Arabidopsis thaliana: one gene and its partner. The protein of the gene in region 2 purifies or fractionates together with the protein of the main gene of each other region. This does not show direct contact. Each region holds a gene or a part of one and is shown on either strand. Other genes may lie near its edges.

Region 1 (8,073 bases), on a different chromosome or scaffold from region 2:
CCATAAACAAGCCCATTAATATTTTAAGATCCAATAAGTTTCATGATTCACATAGACTTTCACCAGTAAGTAGAAACTGGTCAAAGTAAAACAAAGCCTGCCAAATTTAATCTAAAGCCGATTCACTAAATCCATTAATATCACACAATCTTATGGAAAACCATTAAAATAACCGCCACTAAAAGCAGAAGAGCTTCAGGCCATTTTTAGCACCACCACCAGTCTGATGAAGCATTGCATCGATCTCATCTCCATCTTCCATTTCAAGCTGTAAAATTGAAGATTCTCGGTTAAGGAAATCATACAACTTTGAAAAACGGAAAACAGTAAAAGAGAATGGGGTACAGAGAGTGATGTTACCTCATCTGGAGTCTGCTCGGCACGAAGACGACGACCATCAAACAAGAAAGCAATTGAGTTGAAATCCACAGACTGACGGTCACAGTAAGCATTCATCAGTTTTTTGAGCTGAGTGCTTCTCTTGATCCTAAAGAAGACTTCATTACCATCCTACACAAGAAAAATTACCAATGATTGTTACTTCAAGAAGAGTATTATATACGATTTTCTCAATACCAAAAACTGTATCTATAACCAACCAAGTACCAACAACGAAAAATGCCTACCAATGGGTACAGAAACATAAGCAAAACAAATCATAGCAACGAAAAGCTTTCATGAAACAAATGCTCCATACTCCAAAAGCATAACTACAATAGGCTATAGTGAGAGTTCAAGGTTATAAATTGTTAGCTTAGTCACAACTCACAACATTACAACAATTTCTTCGAAGATAATCACTGTCTCCACCAATACACACCCTCACACATACAAGAGTAGTAATGTTTTGTTTGCTACAATTATGAGTCAAAACATAATTCACAATTCTCAGATAACTTTTGTTTGCTTCAAATTTAAGCCAATTAAAAGTCACGCTTACACAATAATCACTACCTCATAGACAAGCTAACCAGAATAGAAATTGGGAATAACGCAGACAAACTCAAAACCCTAGAATTGAAGCAATCAGAAGCTATAAAGATCCTAATCACACTCAAAACTTTAACCAGACAACGAATCGTTACACAATGCAAGAAATAGAAGTCGAGAGAGTGAGTGAGAAATAGAAAACCTGTCCCTTGACTTTGAGATTGATGTGAGCTCCTTGGTCAGGCTTCTTGTCTTCTTCCGGAGTAGCAGACATCTTACTTTATTATCAGATTATACGGTCGGCGATTGGAAACAAGAACTTCGATCTGCGATATAAGCGAAGCCCTAAGAGAGATTCGCGGGATTGCAGAACTTGAGGGTTTGAGGGAGAGAGAGAGACTCGGCAGAGAATAAAAAAGACTGAAACCACTATCTTTGGTCGCATCGGATTCTTGTTTATCTAACGGTTCATAATCATTGATCTATATCATTCGACGGCTGTGAGTGAGTATAATCTCTAACTTAAAATGATGTCGTTTTAGCATTCTTAATGGGCTCAAATGGGCTGGTTACTTCTGTGTCTACCCAAGAATTTTAAAATGTGAAAATCTCAGCTTTCGAGTAGATTTGTTTGAGTTGGGAAAAGTGAAGATGTTCAAAGTGAACCGTTTGATTTTGATCAAACCAGTAAAGATTTCAATTGTTTAATATGGTTTTGTTGTGTGACCTTTTACAATTAGCCAACTTGAGTTTTAGAGGTTTTGATGAGTTGTTTATTCACGGTTGTAAAATTAACAAAGTACAAAGATTCTAAAAATCCGTAACCAGATACCATTAATATCATAATTCATAAGATCCAATCACTCATGAGTCATTTACACACACGATAACCGACCATGATTTAAACTTCAAGTAATTTTGCTTGAAGAAAGTAGTCAAATATCACAAAGCCAGCCAAATTATTCCTAATTAAAGCCCATTATGATCGAAAAGCATATAAGACCACTGACGCTGATTTGCTCGTAGACCACCACTCATCGCCCGGCACGCATCTATCACATCTCCATCTTCCATATCAAGCTTTAAAATTGGAGAATCTTGGTTTAGTAAATGATACACTTTTGACAAACATATAAATTGTAAAAGGGAAATGAAAAAGAGAGTGATTTGCCTCATCTGGAGTCTCCAGGCCACCTATACGAGCTCCATTAAAAATGAAAGCGAATGCGTCTAATTTCAAACCTCGGCGGTCGCAGTAAACATACATGAGCTTTTTAAGTGGAGCGCTTTTTTTGTTCTTAAATAAGACTTCGTCTCCATCCTTAGTATCACCAATCAAGAAAAAAGATTTTAATCACTCTATACTTTAGATCATCACAGTTTGGAAAAGAGTATCATCAAAGTTTTCATATCAAGAAACTGTATATATAGTATTATCAACCAAGCAGCAACGACAGAAAATTTCAAGGAGATTAAAGAGGGAACACAGTGAAAAAACCTGGCTCTTGACCTTGAGAATGACATGAGCTTCTTGTTCTTGGTCGATGGGCTTGTCATCTTGAGGGTTAGACATCTTTCCTTTTATCAGATTTTATGAAACAAAAACTCCAGTCTGTGAGAAATACGAAGGCCTGATAGAGAGATTCACAATACAGTATTGCAAAATAAGGGGTTGACTTTTGAGAAAGAGAGACTTGTCAAAAAAGTGACTGAAACCAGTTCTTGATCGCACTCACTTTTGATCTACAGATTCTTGTGGTGATATATCGAACGGCTCATAATCATTGTAGCTTATCATCCGACGGCTAGGAGAGCGTGGAATTCGTACATGAAAACACTGCCGTTTAATCAAGCATTCGTAATGGGCTATTGGGCTGGTTTAAGATCAAATATGCTCATATGTGGGCTTAATTACTTCTACACAGTATATAAAGTTGGAACCCATTTTCGTGAACCGACCAAATAGTTTTTAGAAAATTTATAAATCATATTTAAAAATAAAATCTAATTACCACGGTAATCTAATAATTTCAAAAAAAATACAACAGTTAGAAACTTTTAAAAATCTTAGCAAACATAACTTTTGTGGTATTTTAAAAAGAAACTCAAAATTATGATATTATTTGACAAAGTTTAGGGCAAGCTCTCTTTATAAAATTTATATATTTCTTGATGTTCTAAACTTCTAATGCATGCATGGTTATTATTTAATATTAAAAAATAATGTACGTCGACCGTCATAGTGTGTAAATGGTTAGTCTATGTTTCGTGACGACTTCTATTTCGGCCCGACATAATATATTTCCAGTTTTTAATTTGATAAACTAATAGGCATTGTATCGTAACGTAAAGATCAGGGACAATGCTAACATTCCTATCTAAAACTCAATTTGTTGGACAGCATCCAAGTGACCTACCACATTGAATTCTTTCTCTTGGTTGATAAGAAACTAATAATGATGATGTTATATTTATACGAATATATTAGTTAACGTTTATATTTAGAAATTCGTCATAAACTCATAATAGTTACAAATAAGTCAATCTGAAGGTGACACACCTCTCTGGATATTATAATGTTTTCAATTTTCATATGGACTTGTCATTGTGTTTCATTTTCAATTTCATGTACCGACTTAAGACTTAAGGGCCTTGTCGAAACATACCGTACGATGTCGACAACCTCCATAGATACATTATTAAATTATTGTTACTTTCATAATCCAAAAATTAAATTGTTATACTAAAGTATATGTAAACCAGCATACATTGATACATATAAGATTACCACCTAGTGGACAAGTTGATACACAAACAAAAACATGTATATAATCATCAAATACAATATTACCAAATGATGATGTCTATTATTTTCTCTTTTGATAGTGGAGTTATTATGATGTCTACTCTTAATTAGTTTCATTATTCAGGTCTCAATCACCGAAGATAAAACTATATTTCAAACTGTAGTAGTAATTACCGTATGTGTATTAACATTCTATGCCTATATGTACATAACCGTTAATATTCGGCCACAATTATTAAATTCAAATAAATCTAAAAAGCATCTTTCACCAAGTAATTAGTAAAACTAGCCGTAAATGTCATCCAAAATTCTTGGTTTTACATCAGAAGGAAACATTAATTGCTTAGCGATAGAGTTCTATTTGTATAGGACAACTAAACTCTACAAATATCGTTTTTTGTTTATCCATGGACGGAGATGGACCATTTAGATTAATTCATTATTATACTACTGGAAAATAATTTGAGGTGTTTGCTTAGCTTAGCTAACCTTAAAATGTTCATTTTTCCTCCGCACATCTAAACGCGTTCATTAGCCCAATTTGCTAAGTCAAAATATTAGTTACAACCAACTTGTGAATCAGTCAATGTTACTATCAAATATTTCATATAAATCTATACTTGGATTTACAAATTTATCGAAACATATCTAAACACAATTATTAACATAATAACTCCAACCATTCAAAATAATAATAAAAAGGACGGAATATTTAGGACGTACGAAAAAGAGACGTTGGAAATCAGAGAGCTCAACGTTCAAAATTTGGTACATGTATAGAACAATGAATGACACATGGCCCCATTGTAGATTCTTCATTTCTCGACGAGACCCAGTTACCATTAATTTACATAATAATTCTAATTCCGACCAATCAATGCATCACATTATCGATTAATAATTATCACTCCTCCGACCAGTTTTTTTCACCTATTAATCCTAACTTTAACGGATAATTAGCAGCTGTTTTCAACCAGTGATTAATAGGTATTTATTACCAGCTGATACTACATGTTTTATTTGCCTCAGTGCCCAAATCCCAATAATTATGGAACGTATTAAAAGTGTTGTTGCAAATGCAATTGTATGTCTAAACAAATTCGTTTTGTTATACAATTCATTTTATGCAGAACATAACGTTAATAAAATCCCCCAAAAAAGGAAAAAAGCTGCAGTAAAATCGACCCTAATTAATTAAAAGTGAATGCTAATTTTGGCACGTACCCCCACAATCTCTGACAACATTTGGTACAACAATCTCCAATCAGTACACGACTGAAACGGTCAAATCCACAATTAAAATAATATTTACTTTAGACACGTCATCGAGTTGAAATATTTACATCACAAAACCGTACAGTTAAAAAAAACAAAGTCATCCCCAATATCTCACGTGGGTCCTACCCACTACATCCACCTCCCTCGTTCTCCTTCTTCTTCGTCTCTCTATATAAACACCATCTTTAGCTTCTCCTTCACCGGAATACAAAAACTGAAACCTTTCTCTATTTATCTCTCTATACACAACAATGGCGGTCTTCGTTTTATCTCTACTCATACTCTCTTCCTTCTCAGCCATTCCATTCACTTATGCAGGTTAGTTCTCATTTTCATCATCTCTCCACAGAGTTTAGTTTGTTTGGATTCTGATGTCTTTGTTTGTTTTTGTCTTCTTATCAGATTCTGGAATGATCGGAGTTAACTACGGCCGTATAGCAGACAATCTTCCGGCACCGGAGAAAGTAGTTGAGCTACTGAAAACACAAGGAATCAACCGCATCAAGCTTTACGACACCGAGACAACTGTACTAACCGCACTCGCGAACTCCGGAATCAAAGTCGTTGTCTCTCTCCCCAACGAAAACCTCGCTTCCGCCGCCGCAGATCAGAGCTACACCGACACTTGGGTTCAGGACAACATAAAGAAGTACATTCCAGCGACGGATATCGAAGCAATCGCCGTTGGGAACGAAGTGTTCGTCGATCCGAGGAACACGACGACGTATCTCGTTCCAGCTATGAAGAATGTTCAAAGCTCTCTCGTCAAGTTCAATCTCGACAAATCCATTAAGATCTCGTCGCCGATTGCTTTAAGCGCGTTGGCGAGTTCGTATCCACCGTCGGCTGGTTCGTTTAAACCGGAGTTAATCGAACCGGTTATTAAACCGATGCTTGATCTCCTCCGCAAAACGTCGTCGCATCTTATGGTGAATGCTTATCCTTTCTTTGCTTACGCAGCTAACGCCGATAAGATCTCGTTGGATTACGCGTTGTTTAAGGAGAACGCCGGGAATGTTGATTCCGGTAACGGTTTGAAGTATAACAGTCTCTTAGACGCTCAGATCGACGCCGTTTTCGCCGCAATGTCCGCCGTTGGATTTAACGACGTTAAGCTTGTGGTGACAGAGACAGGCTGGCCTTCTGCCGGAGACGAGAACGAGATTGGTGCTGGTTCGGCTAACGCGGCGGCGTATAACGGCGGGTTAGTTAAAAGAGTGTTGACGGGAAACGGAACGCCGTTAAAACCGAAGGAGCCACTAAACGTTTATCTGTTCGCTCTGTTTAACGAGAATCAGAAAACGGGTCCGACTTCTGAGAGAAACTACGGGTTGTTTTACCCAAACGAGAACAAAGTGTATGACGTTTCGCTCAACGGTAAGTCAACGCCGGTCAACGATAACAAAGAGAAGGTTGTTCCGGTGAAACCGTCGCTCGTGGGACAGACGTGGTGTGTGGCGAATGGTAAAACGACGAAGGAGAAGCTTCAGGAAGGTCTCGACTACGCTTGTGGCGAAGGAGGTGCTGATTGCCGTCCGATTCAACCGGGTGCCACGTGTTATAATCCTGAATCGTTAGAAGCTCACGCTTCCTACGCGTTCAACAGTTACTATCAGAAGAACGCACGTGGAGTTGGCACGTGTAATTTTGGTGGTGCAGCGTACGTGGTCTCGCAACCTCCTAGTAAGTACCCTATCTTTCCTCTCCAAAATTTTATTTTGATTAGTAAGTATTTTGCATATACAGTATAGTTATTTTCACGTTCTTAATAGTTGGAAGATGGTTAGATAATAATTATGGGAGTTGGGATGGTTTAACAACAAATGTTATTTTTTTGGGCTTCACTTACGTATACAGATTTATAATTAAATTGTGACGTATAGACGGAAACGTAAACTAAATTAATTATTTTTTGTTGGTTATGTGTTTGTAGAGTATGGGAAATGCGAGTTTCCAACAGGGCATTGAAATGGATATAGAGAAGAAGAGGATCGTGCGGATTTATTTACGTTATTTATTTTGATACATTGTTCTTTTGTCATTCGAGTATATGATTTGCGTATATTTATTTTTATTATTGTATATTTGGTTGGTTTCATCGGATAAATAGTCAGATTTTCTTTCCCCCTTAAGCCTTAACTTCTTTGCTCGTGAGTTTATAAAACTGACAAAACTTTGTTGATATAAACCATTATATCCTGCAACTGATCCAATAAACAACATTGCAATATTATTTTCAAAATCTCAAATTGATTCGTTTTGCTGGTGATCAACTGATCATGATCCAAGCAAAACTCAACAGTATATATTGTCCATATTGTTTCATTCCAATACTCCAGAGTCAAAACCTTGAGCTGCCTACTTCATCAAACTTGATTAGCGCCTACCATCAATTGAGCTACGACTACACTACCAACTCCCATATAGAAGCCTGTAACTCGAAAAATGGGTTTTGAGTTATAGTTTGTCACAAAGCTCTGTGAATACATTATACTACATGAAAACTCATCAAGTCTTTTGATATGGAATCTTCAGAACCAAGAATAGCTTTAATGCTTTTATAGTTGTGAAGTCTGTTATTATTCTATTACTGAATGTGTATTCTCCTCCAGAAATATCTAAGATCTTAGATGAGTCAGTTTAGACGTTTTAAATAGCAAGAATGTTCTGCTTTTTTATGTCATTTTAAAAAGCTTAAGGTTTTGGATTGTAAGCATCGTGTGGTTGCTAATCGAACTTCCTTCCCTTTGCATTATTGAGATAGTGTACTCGCAAAACACGGTGGCAATTTAACCAAAACATAGTACAAACACGGTTTCAAAATTTTAAAAACAAAACCATATACAGTACTTGATTACCATCCCAAGACTTACATATTCTTAGATGGACTATGAGTCTATGGCTTTTTCTTCAACTACTACCAACTTGAACTTCTCCTCCAAACCAATTAAGTGGGCTTTCAATTGGTCATGCCTTCTTTCCATATCACGAGTTTCTTCTAGCCAGCGGGAGTGATTTGATGGAAAGGTGGTCGCATTCGTGGAGTATGCTTTTGTAAG
Region 2 (11,381 bases):
TACCAAGAGAACAGTCGAAAAATCAAATAAGCAACAGGCCATATCAAAAATTAAGAATGTACTTCTCCATCCTATCCAAACAACTTAACTCACTAATGATCTCATACCACATCTCACTCTAATGCTGCATAATTCAACTTCAGACATCTTCTACTTTATAGGAGAAACAATAATAAACTCTGAATCCTTGAAAATTAAGCTCAATCTCACCACAACTAAAGAAATGTGATTGTTAATTTCCTCCTTCAGATTAAGTAAGAGCTTTGCATACCACAAAGCCCTGAACTATATAGTATGTAATGAATCAGAACAACTAGTCCGCGAAATTCACTACCAATTTGATGAAAGTCAGAGACTTCAGGAAATCAACAAAACCTAATCTAAAGTGGATACCTTTTGCTGGTAATGCCCTGAAGCCTCCACGTCCACAGGCACCTGGTAAGAAGTATAGTTACCAGCTGCAGCCGCCACATCAACCGGAGCTTTCATTTCCGGAGTAGTGGTGAAATAGTCAGACGCCATAATCTTCTTCAACTTCTCTCTCAATGCAGCATCTGCATCACAAATCTAAGTAATCAACACAGAGAAACTAAAACACAGAGATGTAAGAGACAAACAGATTTAGGAATTTTTATTTTACATGAAGTATTGCAGTTTGATTCGATTGGCTGCTCGGAATTAGCTAACCATAGCTTAGCGTGCTCAACACAACGCTCCAAAGCGTTCTTGTGAGATAAGCTTGAATCCACCGGACGAGAAACCATCAGGCTCCAAAGCTGAGAAATAGAATCCAAATCCCGATCGCCGAGGAGATCAGTGGCATCATCGGTAACGTAATCGTAAGACAAGCAGCAACTTCTCTCATGAGTCCTGGTCAACATTATCGAAGTGAACTCGTTCTGTGACTTGACGTCGAAGAGTGAACCAAAGTAGAGGAAATTCACCAGATCCTCCAACTTAGCGCCATCATCGCCGCCGCTAACTTCCTGCGGGATATCAGTGACTTCCTTTTGCTCAGATGCGGTGGTTTGATCGGATGAAGCACGGTTAAGCTGAGTAGCGAGGCTGATTTCCTCTGTCACAGCGGCGGAGAGAGGAGCACGGATCTTTTCAAGCTCGTCGATTAGGATGACGACGGCAGGTTTAGAGCGGAGGACTTCTTCTTGCTCCTTGTTTAGGGTTTTGCCTTGAGAAATCGATTCTTCCATTTGAGTGATTCGGTTGTATTTCTTACGGAGAGCACGGAGACGCTTGTTGATGAGACCCATCACTGGTCCTTCAGAAGCTTCGGAGGAAGCAGTGGCGGCCATGATTATGGATTTGTGTAGGATTGTCGATAAAAAGAGGATCGAACTGACCGTATAGAAAATTCACCACCGTTGAGTAGCGGCGGCGGCAGTGGCGGAACAAGAGGAGGATTTGTTAGGGTTTTCAGAGAAATGGGGATAAGTTGAAGCGTCTGGTTTTTGGGTAGTGATAGTTTTGAGCTAAATATATAATAATTGATGAAAAATTCCAGTAATGCAAGTGAAATTATCCGTCTCAAAACAAAAGGAAAAAAATAAATAAATAGGAGTGTTCTATTTTCAACTATTTTGTGTAGATTTTTTCAAATTATTTTTGTGGATTACGTTTCTTGTATAAAAAAATTATTTGTCAATTTATTATTAGTTACTTGGAATGACATAGGGTATTTGTATTATTTTAAAATTGTATCAAGAGGCACTCTCTTTTCCTAAATGCAATACTTAATTTTATTAGTAAATATACCATTTAAAAGGGTAATATGTAAATAGGTAATTTTTGAAATACCATGTATATAATGACAAGTACATAGGTAATTTTTGAAATATCATGTAAATAATGAGTTTTAAGTTAAGAAATGAAATACGGTATTGTTACATAATAAAAACAGTTTGAAATTAAGATATTATCAAAGTTGTTAGGATATTGGGAAATATTCCACTTTTTTGGTGTACTTTAGATTCAATTTTATTCTAGATCCTTCTAGATACATAATGTTGTTTAAATATTCTGTAAGTAATTAGAAAACTCCAATCGTAGTATCGTACGTTTTTTTTTTTTTTTTCGTCAACGTAGTATCGTACGTATACATTAGGAATTATTCCTCTTTTTGTATATTCATTCTGTATATGACTTGATATTAAGGTCTTCGTATGCTTCATGATTTGTATTTTATGTTTAACGATAGCTTAATGGATACTTTAACTTGGAGATAGTTTCAACTTCTAACCCCTTTAACATTCGTGAATTGTGACAACAAAGTATTTATAAGATTTCTTGTCACAACTATCGTCTACTGGTCACTAAATCACTATATTAAGATAGGTGATTATTCTGATTTGGTTGTTCACGTCATCCAAACTAAATTTGGCTACATTCGAGTCATAATCTCCATTTACTAGTGAATAACTTATAAGAAATTAATGATTTTTGTTTATGAATCCATGCTCACACAAATAAACCCCCAAAATCCAAATGTTCGTTTACAAAGAAATCGCTTATTTACAAAAACAAACTTGTATTATATTCCCCCAAAAAATAATTTATAAGTCCTTCCTATTATCAAAACTCTTACAAATAGTCTATAGATTAAGCAAGGTTCATGTGCCGACGCCTTTTTTCAATCTATGTAACAACGAGTCTTGTACCAACTACCAACTCTTACTATCTTCTTATACGGTTCATATCATATGCTTCACCAAACAATCACACAATCACTCATTTCTAATTGTCTCGGGTCGATTCTAGAGGCTCGCGCTGGAGGGTAGTAAAATGACATGCAATGTTCCGTTGTTAGGAGGAAGTTGCAAACGAAGAGGAAACAGCTTGCCGTTTAAAGGACTACGAGTACACACCACAGCGTCTTCCATGCACGTTTCTTCTCGCAATGTCTGAGTCAGCTCCGCCACGCTATTTCCTTTAAACGTGAAAGCATATCCAACGGTTGTTTCATCTTCCACGTGTCCTTCCTCGTCAGCGACATGGTAATATATGGTTCGTCCATCAGATTTAGGCGGAGACTCAACCGACTGGTCAAAATCAAAATCAAAATTTTCAATAACCGGAAAACGGTACAACTGTAATTTTAAACAAAACCAAAGGTGTTTTAGGAATTTAGGAAAAGTACTCACATCTGAATCGGATCTGTCTGAAAGAGAAGACGAAGTCCTTGGAGACTCAGCCGACAACGGCGAACTCGTCGGTCTCCGATGCGGCGGTGGAGACGTCGTCTTCGGTGGCGGCGCTTTCGCAGACTCCGTCTTGAATTCGGAATCAGTCAAGATCTCAACAACATCAACATCCCAAGAAATCGAATCCTGAGTAGCAGACAAATGAGGAACGTCGTGTGTGACCGAGTTTCTCCAAGGAGGAAGACCACCATTACCTCGTAAATAGTTACCAGATCTAGTCCTAAGCTTAATCTTAGACCCTTCTCTAAGCGGTTCCCACTCAACAGACGAATCAACCCGACTCAGTTTCAACTGAATCACTTTCTTCCCCGTAGCCCCGAGCAAGAACCGCTCGTTAGAAGCGGTTAAGTACTTACCGTAACAGCTTTTAAGACGAATAACATGGAAAGAATCACGAACCGGTTCGACGGTCCATCGAGCGTTTTTGGTAGATCCGTTACGGTTTTGAGTTACGGTTTCTTCATCGTCGTCTGCTGTTAGATACTTGTTGTGACTGTTACGCATTCGAATAGCTTTTGCTTTCTGGAAAAATTCCATTGCTGAGACAGATACTGGTGTTTCTTTTTGGTTGAAGCTACTCGCCGTCGACTTCTGTAACAACAGAGAAGGGGAAATGAGCGAATAGTGATAAGAAGAAGAAGAAGAAGAAGTGAGAGATATGGTTATTTTATATGTGTGGTGGATCTGACACTGGACTGGTCTAAATTGGGTTTTTTAGTTTTTTACGGTTACGCGGACTAGGTAAGGTAAGAAATCTGGAAAAGTCGTTGCTAGCTGGATTAGAGCGCGTATCTAATATCCACGTCAGCAGAAATTTATGATTTGGATTTCTTTCCTTATTAGTATTTGTTAGAGCTTGTAACGCGTTGTTGTTTCACGTGTTTTGGATTTTGTTACTTTGTAATGTTTGTAAATCTTGAGATTAAAGTTAATTACGAGGATTCCAAGACACCAACTATTGTTAATTTAAACAGATTTTCAAGAAACAAAGCAGGATTTAGATTGTAACTAAAGTTTGTATTTGATTATATATAAAAAAATCAATGCTTTGAATTTTTCTTTAAAAAATTTGGTGTTAAATCTTATAGGAGAAGATGAAAAAAATTGGCCTTAAATTGTGTTTTATTTTTCTATATATCTATTAATTACTACAATGACTTTGTGAAAACTTTTATCAGTTGGAACAATTTTCTCTTACATATCTTCCAATCATTCATGATGTTTATTTCAGATTCTTCAATTCATAGAAGATTTAAACATAATACTAGGAGTCAATGTTGACTATTGAAGATTCATTTGAAATAATAATAAAAGGTATGGTACATACATTTGGTAAACTTTTATTTGCTATGTATATAATAATCTATATGAAGAGAATAAATTACGATAGAGATAGGTAACCAAATTTCCCAATAAAGTATCATTTTACATTGTTACTCTATACTTTTTCCATTATCTTTTAATTTTTCAGTACGTATTTAGTTCTATGATAAGATCAAAATCGGAACTAATGGACGTAATTCTTGATGAATAATATGTGATTTTCAGTTAGATTATAAGCAATTATGTGGTATAAGCAAATCAATATTAAATGGAAAATATTGAAAAATATAAATAAATAATTAAAAAGATAAAAGTATATGCCCTTTTCCCCAAAAATAATAGTGTCCCTATGCCATAAAAGAATGGATCGAAAAGATAGGATTTAAGCGAATATTTAGAAAATAAATCTATAAACCCTTGCCCGCAAGAAAGACCAAGAGAGGAAATTCATGAGTGTGGGACTCTCCTAATTGCATCCCTGGACCATATGCTCCATCACTAAATCATAACTACCAACTTTTTTACCTTACTTTTTGTTACACTTGTCTTATGTTAACTGGCACTAGATTTGTTTATCTTAAGCCATTAGGTACAAGTTTTTATTGTTAAGGAATAATAATCGTATTTTTCTTCTTTAATCATCCTTAGGTATAGCTTTTGTAAGAAATATACAGTCACTTAGTTACATTTTAGAGGTTCTACTACAAGCATTTCAAAACTATCCTTCAATCATTGAAGTAAACTTAAGTTGGATTGTTAAGTGTCATATTTTCAACTATAGTCTATTATAATAGATAAACTAATCAAAACTATACAATTAAAAAATCCTATACATTTTGGTGGTATTAGGTTGGTAAAACGATGTGTGTGCTTGTGGAGCATTATCTATGTTAGTGGAGAAAAGAAATGATACAGATCATGTAATTTTCTTTAAATTGTAGATACTAATACGGGTAATCCTCATCTTTTTTTCCATATGTTCATGCATGCCAACTAATTTCTTATATACAGAATTGTCTAAGTTCAACTCACAATAATAAATTTCTATATTAGCCTTAATTTAAACACAGAAATTAAGAAAAACTAATCAATGCACACTGAATAAAAGACTTAGTCAAACTTACCGGTTTTGAGGACCATCTCGGAGACGTAGATAAACCAAGAGAAGCAAACCGGCTAATACTACTCTTCGTAGACCTGGCAGAAACAGGTGACCCGGGTTCTGATCCGAATTCAGACCCGACCGGAGAAGAAACAGAGCTTTCATCACCATCAGACATGTTTTCAAGATCAGAACCATCAATAGTTATAACATCCCAAATCAACCAGTTCTTTGTCTTTGACGTATGAGGCTCATCGTGAGTAACAGAGTTTCTCCACGGCGGCGTTCCACCGTTAGCCCTCATCCACTTACCGCACCAAGATTTTAGCTTCACCTGAAACCCATCTCGCTCCGGTTCCCACTGCGTTTGCCAATCCATCAGCTTGTTAAACGACGCCGTTTGAGTCACTTTCTCACCGGTCATACCTAACAATAACGGTTTGTTGCTCGCCGTTAAGTACGTGCCGTGGCTGCTCTTTAACCTTATCAGATTAGGTTTATCGACGACGGGCTCCACCGTCCAAACGGCACGCCGTGCATCTCCTTTACGGCTTTGACGGATGGTTTCTTGGTCATCGTCGGCGACTAAAAACTTATCTAGGTGGCTACGTAACTTAACGTTGTTACCTTTTGTGAATAGCTCCATTTTTTCTTTTGCTTGAGATTTTGAAAGAAGAAGAAACAAAAACAGAGAATTTTAAGTTTGTGAAATGAAGGAGAAAGATGATGTTTGTGTTTGGTTATATAGTTTAATGACAAAAAAATAAGACAGAAAAAGCCTGGCTAAAAGGGTACTTTGTAAGTTAATAGTCGGAGGGATTATGCAGCTCGCAATTATTTAGAAATTTCGCAAAATCAAATGAAGAAAAGACTAATGAAAAAGTATTACGAAGGTTCTCCTCCACCTACGTAACTTGTTGAACATTTTACCTCACGCGCGTAAAGAACGTGATGTGAAGACTTTGATAGAAAATGTCTTAGGTTGTGGTTCAATGTTGGTTCTTTGTTTAAACCGGTATCCGGTTATAGTATAAGGTTTTATGGATGTGATTACAGTCCTGTGTGCGTGATAACTGATAAGTGTCTTTTGATCCCTCTAGTAATGAGTCTATGGACCTTATCGTCGATAAATCCGCACCATAATTCAAATCTTATCAATGTAAATTTGAGAATTTAAATTAATGAGGGAAATGTAAACTCATAGATTCATGAAAACCATGACGATCATGTAATATTGATGAAAGATCAGTTCAGCTAGTTAAATTATGTTATATGTAGCTCCATAATTGAATGGAATAATTATATAATCATAGAAGAAATCAGAATACTACAATAAAACTTCATATTAAATGTTGTGAAAAGAATGTATTTATGAAGAGGTAATGTAGAGCGCGTGGGCTTATTGTGTAGAATTGTCTCTTTTCCGTAGATAGAACCAAGAAAGTCATGAAGTAGACTTGTGAATATTTGTGTAGAATAATTTAGGATTAGTACATTTTCTAAACAGTTGCATATAAATAGATCTAGATACACACAACACATTGCCTTGTTATATACGTGTGACTCCTATCTTTCTGGATAAGCCGAAAAGTATTGATATCAGATTTTTTGGCAACATGTCATAGTTGAGTTTTTAATTTTTTTATATCCATTGGTTGGCTTATGTGGCCGACGTAGGGCTTTGAGAGACTCGGTCTTAATTTGTACCTTCCACACCAAATAAATATATTGGTTTGTTTTCCGGAGAACTCATGAAATTTCAATGTTTTTAGGTGACGCATGTAACTACAAGTCTTAACACTAATTTGTTTATAGTGAATTTCAGAAACATATTAGACGTCTGGTCATTGGTGTATTTTATATGGTATGAGAAAATCACTATAAGATCAACCTTATAAATTCATGGAAGTTTCACGACTTCTTGTTTAAGTGATACACTGATGCATGTAATTTACATGATGTGGATGTGGTTTCGGGTCTGGAGAGCTTACGGGTTTCGGTTCAGAACCTCTTAGTATTAAAAAAAAAAAAGTTACAAGTTTTTAGATATTAAATTACGAAATTAATGTTGGAAGCTTGGTGTAAATTATAAGATATATGTTCGAAAAAAATAATTAATTTTATCAGCCTTTTTGAAAAAATTTATATAGAATTTGCGATACAGTCACTTGACATTTTGGAGATCAATAATGTGGTATTCAATTTTTCTTTGAATGTTATTGAAATAATCTCGTGTATAGGACTAAGATTTAAGTCATTTTATTATTAAAATATAAAATATCTTTATTAAGATAAAAAAAAGTTGCATGTTAAAAATCATATAAAAAATGCAGAAATGGGCGTCCCCTAATCCTTAGACATGTTTCCATGTCGCAATTGAACAACATATCTAACTGTAACATACAGCTTTCAAGATCCATTTTAATGGTCTTCTAGTAGTTTTTTTCTCATAAACATCTTTATAAAATACTAATACAAAGTCAATAGAATGTAAATTTCAATTATATTAACAAAATTATTATTATTCTTATGCATTGACCATAACCATTGACTTATTATAAAACAACAAGACAAATGCCGTTTTGGCGATCAAGCAGACTTGAAATATGAAGATTCCAATGCTTTTGCTTTCTTACCTGCACTTATACCAGCTTTTTCCTTGCCTTCCATTGAGTAACTCTCTTCCTGCCAAAAGAAAGTCAACGTTTCATAAACTGTAGACGTATATGAATCAACTTGTCTTGTCTGGTCATATAAATGACTTACCAGCAAACGCCACAAGAAAGGAGCACCATCTCTCTGTTTGGTCACCTTCTCTAGTACTTCAATAGCTGCAGGTTCGGGTGTTGTAAACGCAGAGTTAGTAGCTGAGAAAACGAAGATATAGCCGAAGTATATGGATATAATAGTGTTTTTGAGGAGTGTACCAGTTGAAGATTTGCCGTTGAGTAACAGCAACTTGTACCAGATTTCATTAAAAACATCCATCTGTAAACCCGATCCTCCAATCACCTATATCGTCACCAAAAGAGACAATAGCATTTGCTGTGTATTCTTCAATAAGTTTTGATTTGACATATATCTTATAAGAACATCGCATTACCTTATAGTTAGCAGCGTCAAAGTCTAATCCAAGCAGTTCTAAAGCTATCTCGTAGTTTCCTTTCCCGTATTCATAAACAGCTTCAGCAAGCTGATTTGAAAGAAAGAAAAAGACGGTTCTTATGATATGACATAGAACTCAAAAAAGTCTCCATAATTGTAAATCAGGATCAGCAAGAACAGACCAGAATCGCTTTCTGCATCAGCTTTTGTTTCTTCGGGTTCATAGCGGATGTTCTGTTAGAGTAATAATATTAGCCAGATGATAAGTCAAGAGACAAAACTCTCCATTTGGAAAAAATGTCACAAATGAGAAAGCGGTAGTACTGACCGGGACTTGAGGCCCTCGAGCAATTCATGTGCTAGTGAAGTTTTTTCAACTTTACTCAATGCCCAAATTGTCGTAATATCAAAAAGCCAGTCTTGATACCACATTGCCTGAACATTCGAAGTTGCACAAATCGTTATTAAAAGAAGAGCAAAATAAATGTATATGAACGCAAGGGCAAACAAGTGCATCACTTACTTTATCAGTCAAAGAGTCTGCCAGTTTCTCTAGTCTGTCCTGAAACCCATCATCTAGTTTACCGCGTGTGTCTAAACGCAACAACAAACCAAGAGCATCCGTATAAACCTGATGTGTAATAGTACAAGTATAAAACATCAGATTGCTAATGGAAGTTCAGTTTTTAAGGGGAAGAAAAATGATAAGGGAATTACATCTCTAGCAACAGCATCGTCTTTCTCCAGCTCTTTCCACATCTGATGATCATATACTTCTTCTACCTTACTTATGTGAGACCCTCCTTCCAAGTAACAAACAGCTACGTGCCACCAATTATGCGAAAACCTAATTAAAATGTTCAAAAATTATCTAGTTTTCTTTAGCAGGTGATTCCAGAGATGATCAGAAGATGGTTCTTACTTGTTTGTAAATGCTATTACCTTAAGGATGAGCAAGAATCCCATGAATCTGAGTGTTCTTCCATGAACTTTACTGCTTCTTTAAAACGACATTCAGTTTGAAGAACATGACATAACTGCCAAAAAGAGACATTATTAATGACATTTTGTATATGGATTACCAAGTAACAACAAAAGACCGGGACAATAAGTGTTGGAAACTCACGGCGTGATGAGCCCAAGAATCGTTTTCGTTGATCTCACAGCCTTTCCTAGCAGCTTCCTCAGCTTCTCTCAAATGTCCAAGCTCAATTAAACAGAATGCAAGCATACCATTAACATAAACTTGGCCTTCATTCTGCGGTAGAATCTGCCAAGTTTACGTTGTTCAGTGAGGGAAGTCAATTAATCAAAGATAGTGATAACAAAGATCATGTTTCATTTATAAGTCATGAGGTATCCATCAATTTGATTTCAACATCTTACATACCTTCCGGAAAAGAGGCAAAGAGAGATCGTGTCGACCCATGTAGGAACACAGAGTCTCTACTCTCTTCCAAGATAGCAAATCTTTCGGGAACTTTTTCAAGAGCTGCAAAACATAAAAGAGTTATATACAAGAGTTATAATAACTGCGTCAAAGGAAAGATATATCAAGCTATAGCAAGAAGAACTAATAAGAACAAGAAGCCAAGAAATATCCTAACCTTAGAGTGTAACTCCAAAGCCACATCGTCGTCCATATTCTCAGAGAGTAAGTAACTAACAGCCTCGAAAACTGCCTTCTCATACAGTGTGGCTTTCCCCTAAAACCAATGAATTTCAGAGAGCTCAATGACACCAAACTCATAAAGTATCACGGATTATAGACATGGGATAGCTACAGAGCATCATTTGTTTCACTTAGAATGAATCATAGACACTAAAAGAGATAACAAGGTAGAGCTTACAAGACGGGATTCTGCAGCTAGAGCATATGATCTGGCTCTAACAGGGTCAAAAGAGCTAAGGTAATGAGCAGCCAAAATGTTGGCCAAAACACAATCATTATCATAGTTTGGCGCTTCTAGAATCACCTTCTTCTCTCTTCCATAACCAAGAACCTTCATAAGACGGTGCAACAATGTCACGAAAGATAAAAATCATAACTTTAAGCATAGCAAACCAGAAAAACACAACTTGAAAGCTACAAATATCATCTTTCAGCAAAACAACTTTTTTCCAATCGACAGAACAATCAATACTCTTCGATAACTACAGAAGGAGACTTTACAAAACCCACCACATCATCGAATCGTCTAAAGTATCAAACCATAGAAACTAAAGACAACCCTAATGTGAAAAAGAGAGACGAACCTGGTCAGAATAAGAGTTAATGGAAGCAATGCAATCATCTGAAGAGGTGTTGACCTCATAACCACAGCTAACAAATCTGCTTTCTTCTTTCTGTTTATCGGAGATTACGAAACAGAGTTCACGCGTGAGTCTAATCGAAACAGAACAGACTAATATTTGTTGACCAAAAAAGAGAGAGAGTAATTTATGCACGAAGGACGATGAATTTTCACATTGTTTGAATAATGTTTTTTAAAAAATCTTATGAAAATACCATTTTTTGAATAATATACAGATTTTGCTATTTTTAACACATTGAAATATATGTATTTATGAGTTTATAAATATTACCAAATACTAAATCATAAGAACTACATAAACTTGACTAAAACCAAACAAAC

What was found.
Region 1: the proteins of AT1G27100 (region 2) and SUMO3 purify together in Arabidopsis thaliana (affinity purification with western blotting, with the first as the bait; one study listed by BioGRID). This does not show direct contact.

The regions. Positions count from the first base shown.
Region 1 is NC_003076.8:22,383,569-22,391,641, forward strand, and holds SUMO3 (small ubiquitin-like modifier 3), read right to left. Parts: upstream 2,638-8,073; 5' UTR 2,504-2,637; coding exon 2,429-2,503; intron 2,252-2,428; coding exon 2,102-2,251; coding exon of another isoform or gene 2,011-2,101; coding exon 1,900-2,010; 3' UTR 1,689-1,899; downstream 1-1,688. Other genes in the region: SUMO2 (small ubiquitin-like modifier 2), read right to left, coding at 179-268, 361-510, 584-622, 1,133-1,204; AT5G55180 (O-Glycosyl hydrolases family 17 protein), read left to right, coding at 5,266-5,332, 5,417-6,701, 6,948-6,993. UniProt on the Arabidopsis thaliana protein: Ubiquitin-like protein which can be covalently attached to target lysines as a monomer. Does not seem to be involved in protein degradation and may function as an antagonist of ubiquitin in the degradation process.
Region 2 is NC_003070.9:9,404,789-9,416,169, forward strand, and holds AT1G27100 (Actin cross-linking protein), read right to left. Parts: upstream 6,581-11,381; 5' UTR 6,287-6,580; coding exon 5,663-6,286; intron 3,807-5,662; coding exon 3,156-3,806; intron 3,054-3,155; coding exon 2,769-3,053; 3' UTR 2,297-2,768; downstream 1-2,296. Other genes in the region: AT1G27090 (glycine-rich protein), read right to left, coding at 394-554, 641-1,310; AT1G27110 (Tetratricopeptide repeat (TPR)-like superfamily protein), read right to left, coding at 8,230-8,325, 8,407-8,471, 8,568-8,652, 8,744-8,833, 8,928-8,979, 9,074-9,180, 9,269-9,376, 9,463-9,592 and 6 more.